2 linked regions of the Drosophila melanogaster genome follow. Changing the gene in region 2 together with the main gene of any one other region gives a genetic interaction. Each region holds a gene or a part of one and is shown on either strand. Other genes may lie near its edges.

Evidence for each region. Genes that interact genetically often act in the same process or in processes that back each other up.
Region 1: of robo2 (region 2) and eg, changing one suppresses a phenotype caused by changing the other (phenotypic suppression), as found in Drosophila melanogaster (one study listed by BioGRID).

What each region holds. Positions count from the first base shown.
Region 1 is NT_037436.4:21,806,360-21,812,273, reverse strand, and holds the start of eg (eagle), read right to left. Parts: upstream 3,572-5,914; 5' UTR 3,470-3,571; intron 3,436-3,469; exon of another isoform or gene 3,037-3,435; intron 1-3,036.
Region 2 is NT_033779.5:1,417,060-1,422,512, forward strand, and holds the start of robo2 (roundabout 2), read right to left. Parts: upstream 3,395-5,453; 5' UTR 3,107-3,394; coding exon 2,845-3,106; intron 1-2,844.

The DNA of each region.
Region 1 (5,914 bases), on a different chromosome or scaffold from region 2:
TATTATTATTATTGTTCTTATTATTATTATTATTATTATTATAATTATTATTGTTATTATTAATATTATTATTATTATCATTATTTTTATTAATATTATAATAAGAATAATTAATATTTTTATTATTTTAAGTATTGTTATCATAAATAAAAATCAAGTATTTACGTGCGGCTCTGTAACCATCAGGATCTTCGTAATTCTCGTTGGCCCTTTTGAGAACCAGAACTGCCACAGAACGCCCTGACTCCCTCCAATGACAGCCAGCTAGCAAGCTTAAGTGCTCCCCAGAGTTTTCCCAGTCTGGATATTTTCCGGACCAGGGATGCAAGTGGCAGGGAGCTGCTCCGCGAAATGCGCCCAGCAGGTGGTGTGGCCACAACGTGATGCTGCTTCTGTGATAATGGTTGGCCCCGTCCAAAGCCCGCCGGCTGCCAGATCCGGAGCTGGCCTGCCAATGCTCGGCACTTTGCATATAAACGCTCGCTAATGGACACCAAAGGTGACAGCAGAGCGCTGCTAAATTGGCAAACATTAAATTTGCACCTTCACAGCAAGCGAGCCATCGACCGCGAAACCGTGACAATTTTCGGCACAGCGGTGCACTTTTTCAGAAAGCAGGAAAATCATCGAGGAGATCTTCCATCTCTGGGTCCCAAAGACTCAGAACCGCAGTTCGTGGTGGAGCTGGAGTGGTAAGCCAGATTGCACTCAGCTAGAAAGAAGATCTCTGAATGGAGGAGTTTTGGGGAAATGGATTCATAAGCATCGTGTTAGCCGAAAAATGAGTATAATTACATCAAATAGGTGCATTTACCTTCGACATTGGGAACAACCTATATTACTGCTGCACTGCTTTCATAAATAAGCACTCATAAAACTAAATATTTATGCACTTAATATGCATAGAAGTGCTGTAAATTGCAATACATCTCGCCGTACCTGAACTTCGTAGATAAAGAACCAAAAAGTCAAAAATCATTTCGATCCTTATTGAGAAACCCGATTGAAATCCAATTGAGCGGCACGCTCGAGCTATAAACTTGCAGATCCCTATCCGCAGGCGGCATCTCAATCTTTTTGGCTTTATCACGACGACAACGACCAAGGCCACTGATCCACGTAACCGGGCGCATATTTGAGAGTCTTGTTCTTGGGGCATCTTTAGGACCCCTTTAAGTCAGCGCATAGAAGTAGTAGATGTCATGGAGGAGTACATAATTCCCATGCTTCGAGCTAATTACAAGTCCTCAAGCCGAGCCCAAATTTAAGGTGAATGCAATGCTTAGGTCCGATGGCCAGTTCGATTTGTGGGAAAACAATGAGTAGACGAGAGTTGTGCCAAAGACATTCTAGTGTCTTTGGTTGTGCCAATTCGAAATATTTGACTCTGCAGGTTCCTTTCAAATTTAAAAACAGAATCCCCATTGTTCATTTCTGAGTGTATATCGAACCGAACAGATCAGACCAGATATAGGAACGATCTTGGCTGTCAGACTTATCGATTAAGCCAAGATTAATGTTACACATTGGGCAGAAACAGACAATTAATTAGAAACCTAAACTGCTACAGAAACTACAACTGTATATTGATCGCAAGCCAAGTGGAGGAGATTGTTCGGATCTAATCTATGGAGATCTGCAGATGAACTCGATGGGGACAAGTTCAGAGCGGCTTAGACAATAAGAACCAGATCAGTTGGTCGCTGCCACATTCTCAACAAGCTCATCAACTCGCTGTTGACAGAGCTGAAAAAAAGTGGGCAGAACGTTGGACTTCTCTCAATAGGAATAATAAACAAGGTCCCAAAAAAATGTGTCCTTTAAAGCAAACAAAATGATGGACAATGCCAAATCTGATAAAGGCAACAGAGGGAGAAAAGGTGTTCAAACAAGCAAACCACGATTGTCTCAAATATTTTGAAGCCGCTACAAAATAGAACAAGAATCAAGAACACAGCCCACTGAACCGAACCCCGGAGCATTGACACAATCTGCAATCCAAATCCAAGTCCAAGCCCTAACCCAAACCCAAACCCAAGCCCAAACCCTTCCTACACCCGAATCGCCTTCCATCTCGCGCACAATTGCCGGTAATATGCTTTATTATTAGCCCTGCCAACCACTGGAGACGGACATTCGCAGTATGCAAATCCACTCAGCAGTCACACGCTCTAGTTTGAATTGTCTGCTTCCGCAATTCTTGATCTGCGATCCTCCATCCTCCATCCTCCATCCTCCATCCTCCATCCTCCATCCTCCATCCTCCATCCTCCATCCTTGATCCTTCTTCCTTCGCGATCGAGGATCCACGATCCAGTCGCTTCAGGCTGCCCCTGGCCCTTTTCTGCTTGATTGCCGACAGCAGTTGGACAATTAAATGTTTGAATATCTCCCATCTTTGTCCATTCGCAGCCCCTATTGTAGAAATTTCTTGACACTTATCGCACAAAAGGCAATAACATTATTAATGAGCATGTCAATGAGCTTCTTTTGTCTTCACCATTACACTTTTTCTGGTTCTCCTTGGTCCTCCTTAGTGGTGTGAGTACGAACTCATGGGAGTTAAGCTTGGTCCTTGATAGCTGGGGATAGTTGGGCCATTTCTTCGCAACAGATTTGTCTTTTTATTGTTGGTTTTTTGTTTTGATTTTAATAGTTTGTACTAAGTATTTCAATTATTGCTAAAAATATTATTAAATTGTATAATTTCAGTCTTTAATTGGTTTGGTTTTTATAATGCAATTGTTTTCGGTATTAATCTTTTATTTGCGATTTATTTTGACTTACAACAACCATCCGACAAATTTATGGAAATTATGCAAAATGGTTTTTATTCAATTAAGCCTTTAATATATATATTGCTTGTATTTATCTATTGTTTTAGCGTTTGAATTATGTGTCCAGCATCTCAACTTGTTGTTGTCTCATTAATTCAATGAATAAATGTTTTATTTATTCTCTTAATATGTTTTGTTTGTCAGCAGGGAGACTTAGCCATTTTTTAATAGCATAAGCTCATATACAACAAAATCTTACCTTTTCCAGATCATATATTTCCACAACAGCATAAATTCGATGTTTTTACCAACTCACTATTTATTTATTTTTTCCTCTTTAGATGTTAATTTTTCCAGTTTTTTTTTTAACTTCACACACTGGGATACGTTTGAATGAAAATCAACTGATTATATCAAACACACTCTTCACATGACACCTTAAATCCGAATTATCGCTGATGATATAGCGACGGCTTTCGAAGGAGATTTCAGCAATCACGTGGCGCACATAGTGCCGAAAAACTTCGCGATCGGTCGGATATAATGCGATTGCGAGAGCGAGAGAACAGCGAAAGCCTGACTGACGGTGCTTGGCAGCGTAGCGTCCATCCGAGACTAAATCGTCGCCGTCGTTCTGAGCGCCAAACAGACTCGAACTGGCAGCGCGGCCCTGGCCTCAAAGATCATCTTACCCCAGCAGCAGCAGCATCTGCAGCGCGGCAGCACGAACAGCAGCACTAACAGCAACAGCAGCGGCAACAAGACAACAAAGCGCACGCGTCGCTAGATTGTGTGCGTGCGTTTGCAACAGTGGCAGGGCACGGCGAAACTTAACTGTTAATCGGCGGCCGTCGCTGCAGGAAATCCTGTTTGGCAAACAGCTGCTGTGGCGAATGGTGCGCGTGCTCCGTTCTGCCGGTTTAACAGCAATGTTATGGCGGTAAGATCTGTTGACTGAACTGTTAACGAAACAAGATTTGTTATTTTCGGGAGAATTTTAAAACAATTATATTAAATATATATTATTAAATAATATATTAAAGATATTATTGACAAGTTAGTACCCTGAAAAAATGCAGTTTTTTGTTTCTACAACGCTAACTGAAATAAGTCAAAACGCATTTATGTATATTAAGAGTGCTAACATTTTTCTCCAAGTGCACCCTGCTACCGACCTCGCTTCGAACATGTTTGCTGTACGTTTCCAGCTCGGTTCGCGACTCTCCGCTCTCCGTAAATGTTAAAGCGTCGCATCTTCTGAGAGCTGAACTGTGGTTGGCTGTTGGCACCGGCACGATCTCCAAGCGTTTCGTTCGTTTCCATTGAATACTGTGTCGATGCGGTTGGCTGTTGGCTGATGTCTTTTTACCCCCGTTTGACTCTACACACGGTACTGTTATCATTTGAGTGTATTGGCCGCGAGAGTGTTGGCCCTGGTTTGCTTCGTTGTGCATGTGCATCCAATTGAACTCGTATTGGACGACTAATGTGGCAAGGAGGTGGGCACTTAATGCCCGGCGATCAGTGTAAACAAACATTGGGAGAAACCAAGAAAACATCAGAGGTTATTTGTGGCTTGACCTGCAAAATGGAGAAAACAAGTTCGCCTCCCTAGTCTTTCGTATATTTAAATATTTTTATGTGAATCTTTGTCGGATTGATAACGATTGGAGATGACCACATGGAAAACATATGCATAGATGTTGGTTTATTCTATCTGGGGGCACTGCAGAATTCTTTTAGGTTGAATACAAAATTCTGCCACTAATGGTATATATAAAGCTATATTCTTGTGAGCGTAAATAAAATAAAAGTTGCATGAGATTGTTTAACAAGGAATCAATTTTATTAGGGCTAAATGGTATCCATTTAAATACATTCGATACGGTACTTCAACAACAATTGCAAAATAATCAATGCTAGTTCTGTGCTGCTTAAATCGGATTGCCACCAGGCGCAAAATTGCCAGTGGAACAATCAACGCGTTTCCATATGTCTAATTGAATTCTCCTGTCATAAGCATGATCAGATGACTGCCTTCGTGCGCCGAGATGCCCACTAAAGTGATCCCCGGGCATTTGACCAGTCGTTGTCTGTCCCTCCATCTCAACTCATCTCAGCTCAGACTTAGACTCAGGCTCAGGCTCAGGCTCAGACTCCCGGCTTCTGTCACTTGGTGATGATGATGATTTCATTTTAATAACACCACTGGACGGAAGAAGAGTGCCACGGCGGAGATCGTTTAATACTCTGCATTCGCCGCGGCCGTGTCAACACCACTTGACGGAGTAACAAGGAAGCGCAACACTCTAAAACGACGTGTAATTTATCACAGCCAAAAGCATTTAGCCATGAACTGGAACGGAGACTCCGATTGCGACTGCAACTGAATCTGGCTAGTTTCTTGGAGTAGTTTCCTCTGGCTCTGCCTGTCAGTATAGTTGTCGTCATAATCTGCCAAGTGGCGATGCAGCTCCTGGAGCTGCTGCGGTGCAATTTGGTCGTCATATTAAAATTTCTTCAGCTCGTGGGCAATCTGAAATTTTCCCTCCGCTCTCTCCAAATTTTTAATTAAGTTTGGGCCTTGGCAACGGGCGCATGCGTATCTCGCCTGCTTGCGTGCTCATCTCTCAACTCGGTGATGAGTTGGGGCATTAGCTTAGATGGCTGCCCATATTTATTAGAGCGCAATCTGCCTCAAATTGTGGCCACTTGAAGCGATACGGAGCGGAGAGCAAGAAACTTTAATCTAATTATGAACAGAGTTGGTTGGCTTACTTTCAAGACGGACTTAAACAAATTGTACTCAGGATATAGAATTTCCCGAATTTTAATTCTATCAATAAGAGATTTGGAAGATATACTTTTTAAATCACTTTTAAAATTAACTAAATCGCTAGGAAATTGTAAATGCCAATGATGCACCAAATCTTCAACAAGTAATTGTTTTTTTGTTTTTGGCAAGTTCATATTGTTGTTAGTTAAGCTTTACACAAATTTAATTTAAATTTATTACTTACATTTTAAAGTTTTCTATTTAAATAAAGCTTAAGGATCAACTCAGTAAAGTGACTTTTTCCCACTACAAATTTTCAGTGAAAACTTCAGTCAAGCCAATCGGAGATTGGCAAACACTT
Region 2 (5,453 bases):
TAACCATTTTCCAGGCACTGCATTGCATTGCATTGCATGCAAAAATGTGGCCAACAGCAACGGCTTTAAACGCCAACTGGCATAACTGCAACATTTCGGATGCAAGTTTGCATTTTACGCGGCTGCCAGGCTTAATTTTCCTTTATTTTTAATATCGCAGCCGAGCAACGGCAACAAAATGTACATAAAACCCACGGCTATATCAAGTACGGCCAGCACCGAGATATACCCACATATACACACTGTTCACTGGACTGGACTGGCTGACAGGCTGGGTCTCCAGATCTCCAGGAAGCAAGAAATAACAAAAATCTTTGCGTAGGCAAAACTTGGCTCCGACTACCCAGCTGACCATGTCCAAGTCGCCTTTCAGCCATTCAAACTTCCAGACTTCCAGACCGATGTCTCTCTGGGCTCTGCGTTCTGGGTTCTGGCCGTCGTCGTAAGCCTGTTGTTTTAAATAATTAATTATTGTTTGGCTGGCAAATAGTCGACTGGAGATCGAATGCTCTTAGGAAAGGCGTACTGAAGCCACGGCTAGTTGCAATTAGAAGTAAATACTTTTCCCCAAGGAGTGGCTATGTGTTTTCTAAGGAATTCGATCCAAATTGATTTTTTTATTAGAAGTAAAACTACATATTACTGAAAACCTATCACTCCCGTCCTAGTCCGTATTTTCGAATATTCCTAGAAGTACGTCGCTATCCGCTAGACCTTTCGCCAGTCGACTTGCAACACCTCCACCCACATTGGCCCGACTTTCAATCACATTCCTGCCCCAAACTGTGTGCCAACGTATCGGTGCTAGCTATGGCATGGATACTATCCCATAAGACCCCTCATTATCTAGCCTGCAGCTGGGAGCAAATGGGAGATCTCGTTGAGTGCCGGGCGATTGGTAGGGCAATCATGTGATTGAACAAATAACATGCTACGGAGCTGCCACAGCACTTGACTTCATTTCTTTCGCCCGGGAAAGTAGGAAAACTAAGCCAGAGACCGCTACTTAGCCCAATTTTCGCATAATGCACATGAGAAAATTGCACAAGAGCCGAAAGGCTTTTGCCAGGCGGGCACCCAAAAAAAAAAAACACAAAAACACAAAAAATGCCAACATAAACGGCCAAGACAAAGGAAAGGATAGACTGCCACCCCCGGAGTCAAAACGAAAAAAAAAAAAAAAAAAACAGAAAGAAGTGCAGTCAGTCCAGTTAGCTGGAAAAACGCTCCCCAGAGTGGCATTAGAAGGTTGCCAAGGCTGTCAACCCTGCAACTTTGTGTTGAGGGCGATAATTTTTATGACCCCGACAGATTCTCAAGCCGACTGCGATTGACCCACCACCCAAAAGCTGGGCTGCTAACTGGATCTCGCTGGTCACACACCACCAGAAGTGAGGAACAAAATCCTGTCGTGTGCCGGTGCAGATAATTTTATACAATTTATTATATCAAACGGGCGACGTCGCGTGCAACACTTGCCACGTCACATCGGCCATTTCGGGATGGGGACACTGAGATACAGATACTTGGTGCTGCAACACACAGCCTCAGGTTGCGTGTTCAAGTGTTTACTGAAATCCGAATTCAAAAATCCCAATCCCAATCCGAATCCGAGTTGCGTGTGTCCATGGACGATATCAGTGGACTGGGCGTCGTTGGTTTGGCATTAAAAAGCGTTTAATAAGCATTAGATTACAACATTCTCAGCGTTGCAAGGGGTGTGACGACTTAAGCTCATTTAGATATATGTTTTATCGGCGGAGGTATAGAGCCATGAAATCGCCAAAGGGTCTAATTTAAAAGCGTTGCTTAACTCCCATTCCTTAAACCGCCAACCTCAAACCATTTCGCTTTAGTTTTCTTTTTGAACTTGCCATCTCGACCACAAAAGCCACAAACTCGATTCTTTGTTTGATTTTCCTGTAATCAGTTGCGAGATTGGAGCGGGAAACTACACTCGGTTGATTAGTCTTTCGAACTCATTACTCATTTATCTAAAGTTCGGTTTTGGTTTTGGTTAGTGATCTTTCCCGAGATCCTCCCTAAGGGGTTTACAATTTCTGTGTTTCGATTTACCCTCATCCAACTGAGTTTCCACATATGCATTTTTTTTTCACTTTTCTCGGGTTCGATGTGTAATACGATCTGTGTATTCTTTGGAAGTTGTATTTAGTTTTCCCAAATGTGATCCCTAAGTGGGTTCAGTGGGTTAGCATTTGTTTTTTGGTGTTCGTTATGTGGTGATAAGGAATAATGAGGAATTAGCAGCATTGTTCTTAAAAGTATCCATACTAATAGATACTTCTTAACCTTCCCTAACCTGCAGAGAACTTCTGAGAGATCTCTGGAATTACGATACCGATTGCAATGCCCTGCCAAAGCCCAAACATCCAGCTATGCCCATCCAAAAGTCGCCCCATTATGTGCATCTCTAATGAGAATCGGGAGAGAGAGGCATGAATAATGGGTCTATGGGCAGAGTCGATGTCGCGTTGTCTATAAAGCGGCCTTAAAATCCATTAGCGAACGTTGCAGGCATAAATAAACCGCAGTGCCTTAATTTCACTTTGTTGTTCGGTCGGGCCGCGTGTGTTGCAACCAAAAATAGCCAAAAGACGGAGTCGACCAACAAAAAAACGTAAATGGAAACAAATGACGCTAATAAATAAATGGGGAGTGCAGCGACATGAGGAGGCAACTCATATGCGGCCGCGAAGGATTTTCCCTGGCTCTGGGAGGAAATAGTTTGTCATAATGCCCTTCAAACTAAAACAGAGATCCCACAATGCAACCCTGCGAATGCAACTCTGGAGATGGACGCATCTTGCATCTGTTGACACTTACCCTTGAGCGCTCCGACTTGAGTTAATCCGTTTAATCCCGCGAGGAGCAGCAGCAGTGGGAATACTGCGCGTCGACTCCGATCGACTGGCATTATTTTTAGCCGCTCCCCATGAAAATCTCGATTGTTTCTGTGTCGGCGTTTGATCTCGCTGGCAGTTTTATTTTTGATTTTGCTTTTGATTTTAATTTGAATTTCGCTTTCGTTGGTTAAACACTGAGGTTGCAACCGCAGCGGCATTCCACGCATCTCGCACAAATGCATTTTGTCAAGTATTCTCGTTTCGCCTCCTTAATTGCACACCATTTAAAATAGATTTGCACTCATTTCTCGATACGCGCAATCTTTCGGATCTTCTGTTTTGGCACACACAGTATTTCTGTTCCTCCGAGTTAGTTATTCGCTAGCATCTGAATCCATGGCGGCGCCACTAAGTCCGTTTCCCGGAACGACGACGCGCGTAACCCGACGAATCGAACGGATACGGATATATGGACTGTATCTGCATCCGCAGCACATGCGAACCGGCTGACAATCGAAATGCGACTGAGGAACGAATTCTCGTTTCGCCTCGGAGCCGCCACCCGAAGTCCACTTCGGCTACTGCTTCGTGTCTGTGTATCCGAGTACCATCTAGTATCTGTATCGCTTCGTGCGCTGTTCCGCGTTCCAGTTCGTCCCGCTTGTTGCATGCTGTGGAACGCGTTGGAACTTTGTTTACTTTTACTGCAAGACGGTTTGTTTTGTTCCGTCTTCACTCGTTTCGATCCACGTGCCCTAGGTTTATCGTCGAGTCGTGCAACATTTCGGGTGGTGGTGCATCATCATGTTGCTATTGAGTGGATGTGAATTGTTGGAATATGTATCTGACTTCCAGGACTAGATGGGGATTTCTTTGCAGCACAACACATAGTCATGTATTTATTGGCTTTTTTTATGAATAATCTGCATCATTTGCTAATACAAAAAAATCTACATTCAAACGGACTTTAACACCATGCCACATCCATTTCCAAGTCCAACTTGTTTATCTCCAGCTCTTTTCCATTTTTATTCGATCATTCAAGCTCTTTTTCACGTTGTCAAGCCAACAAATTGCCAACCTTTGTGCCGCTCAGCCTCAATAGTTTCCATCCGAATCCGAAAACATTTCGAGCTCGGATAATCCCTACTTGTTGCGCTTTATTGCCCTCCAGCTCCACCGTGTCCGCTCAACCCTTCGCCGGCGCAGAGAGTCGAAAGAGCCCCTCCAAAGGGGCGACCATTTCATATCTAATCTGCTCGAGTGCCCCACTCACTCTCCAGCTGTTAGCTCATCTATTTCCAAACTGCAATAAAGCCAGACACAGTTCTAGACGATCCGTTTCACAATGCGATGAATAGAAATCAAAGTGGAGACCCGTTCTTGGACACTGTCCCAATATCTAGACGCCTCTGCGCGCTAATGAATTTCGAAATCAATTGAATGGCCAGCTAGACGATATTGTATTAATTTATCAAAGTGCATATCCGAAAGGGCTTTCCTCTATAAATCGCTGCCTAATTTCCCAGCGTTTGTTAAATAATCAATAACTTTTCCTCCAGGTAGAGTTCTTCGGACGAGTGTGAAGTCAGTTCATTAATGCCGGTGCTCAGAAAATACAGATACAGATACATTCGACGGGCAGAGAAGTGTAAAATAAAGGTGTGTATCTTTCCTATAAAGGAACTATGCGTGCATTTAGGAGCGGGCAGGTGTGGATTCCCTTTCCCCCTCCACTTCCCCTTTTCAGAGTGCAACACAATGTGCATTGTCTCTGCGAGAAAGAAAGGTCAAAGTGCGTACGGCGTATGTGAGTTTGTTGCCTTCTCAAGTCCCTCGTTTCTTCGATTCTCCGATCCCGACTCTCGAATCCCGATTCCCACTGCCGCTCACCTTTTATAGAGGCGAAGAATCCAGGTAGAGGAAAGAGAGAATTCGTGGCAGGTAAACCATATTTCAAATGCTGATAATTGGCCAATTTACAGCCAGGGCGAGTTGCTCTGCTTGAAAGGCGAGATATCTGAGCCCGGTTGCCACGCTTCATTAGCACTCAAGTGAAGTTGGGCAACGCTGCAAGTATATACGATAATATATAATATATAGATACCTTATGTCCTTTACCTTACCAAAGTAAATCCAATGTGCTAACTATCCGATGGATTCAAGCATGGATTTTTGATCTATGCCCGCAACACCCAAAATATTTACTCCTTAAGCTGGCCCGATTAAACCTGCCAACCCATGACCTTACCAAAACAGAGGGCCAAGAAGTTTGGCAACACTGGACTGCACTCTGAGTTATCTAGGCTGAAATGTTGACACTGCCTTTGTCATGTTTGGGCCTCTCGCCCTCTCTTTCCAACCGGCTCGTCCCTCTCTGTCACACAGTCTACTGACTGACTGTTTGTCTGTCATGTCGGTTGGTTTAAGCCTTGTTAATGGCATGTAAGTTGCGTCTCAATTGCGGATTTGCGAGCTTCCAAACGAAATGAAATGACATTTTGATTGTCAAGCCAAAGCTGAAAAAGATGAGAGGAAGGCGAAACTCACGAAACTTATAAATGCACTTTAATGTACGTGTTTAAGTTT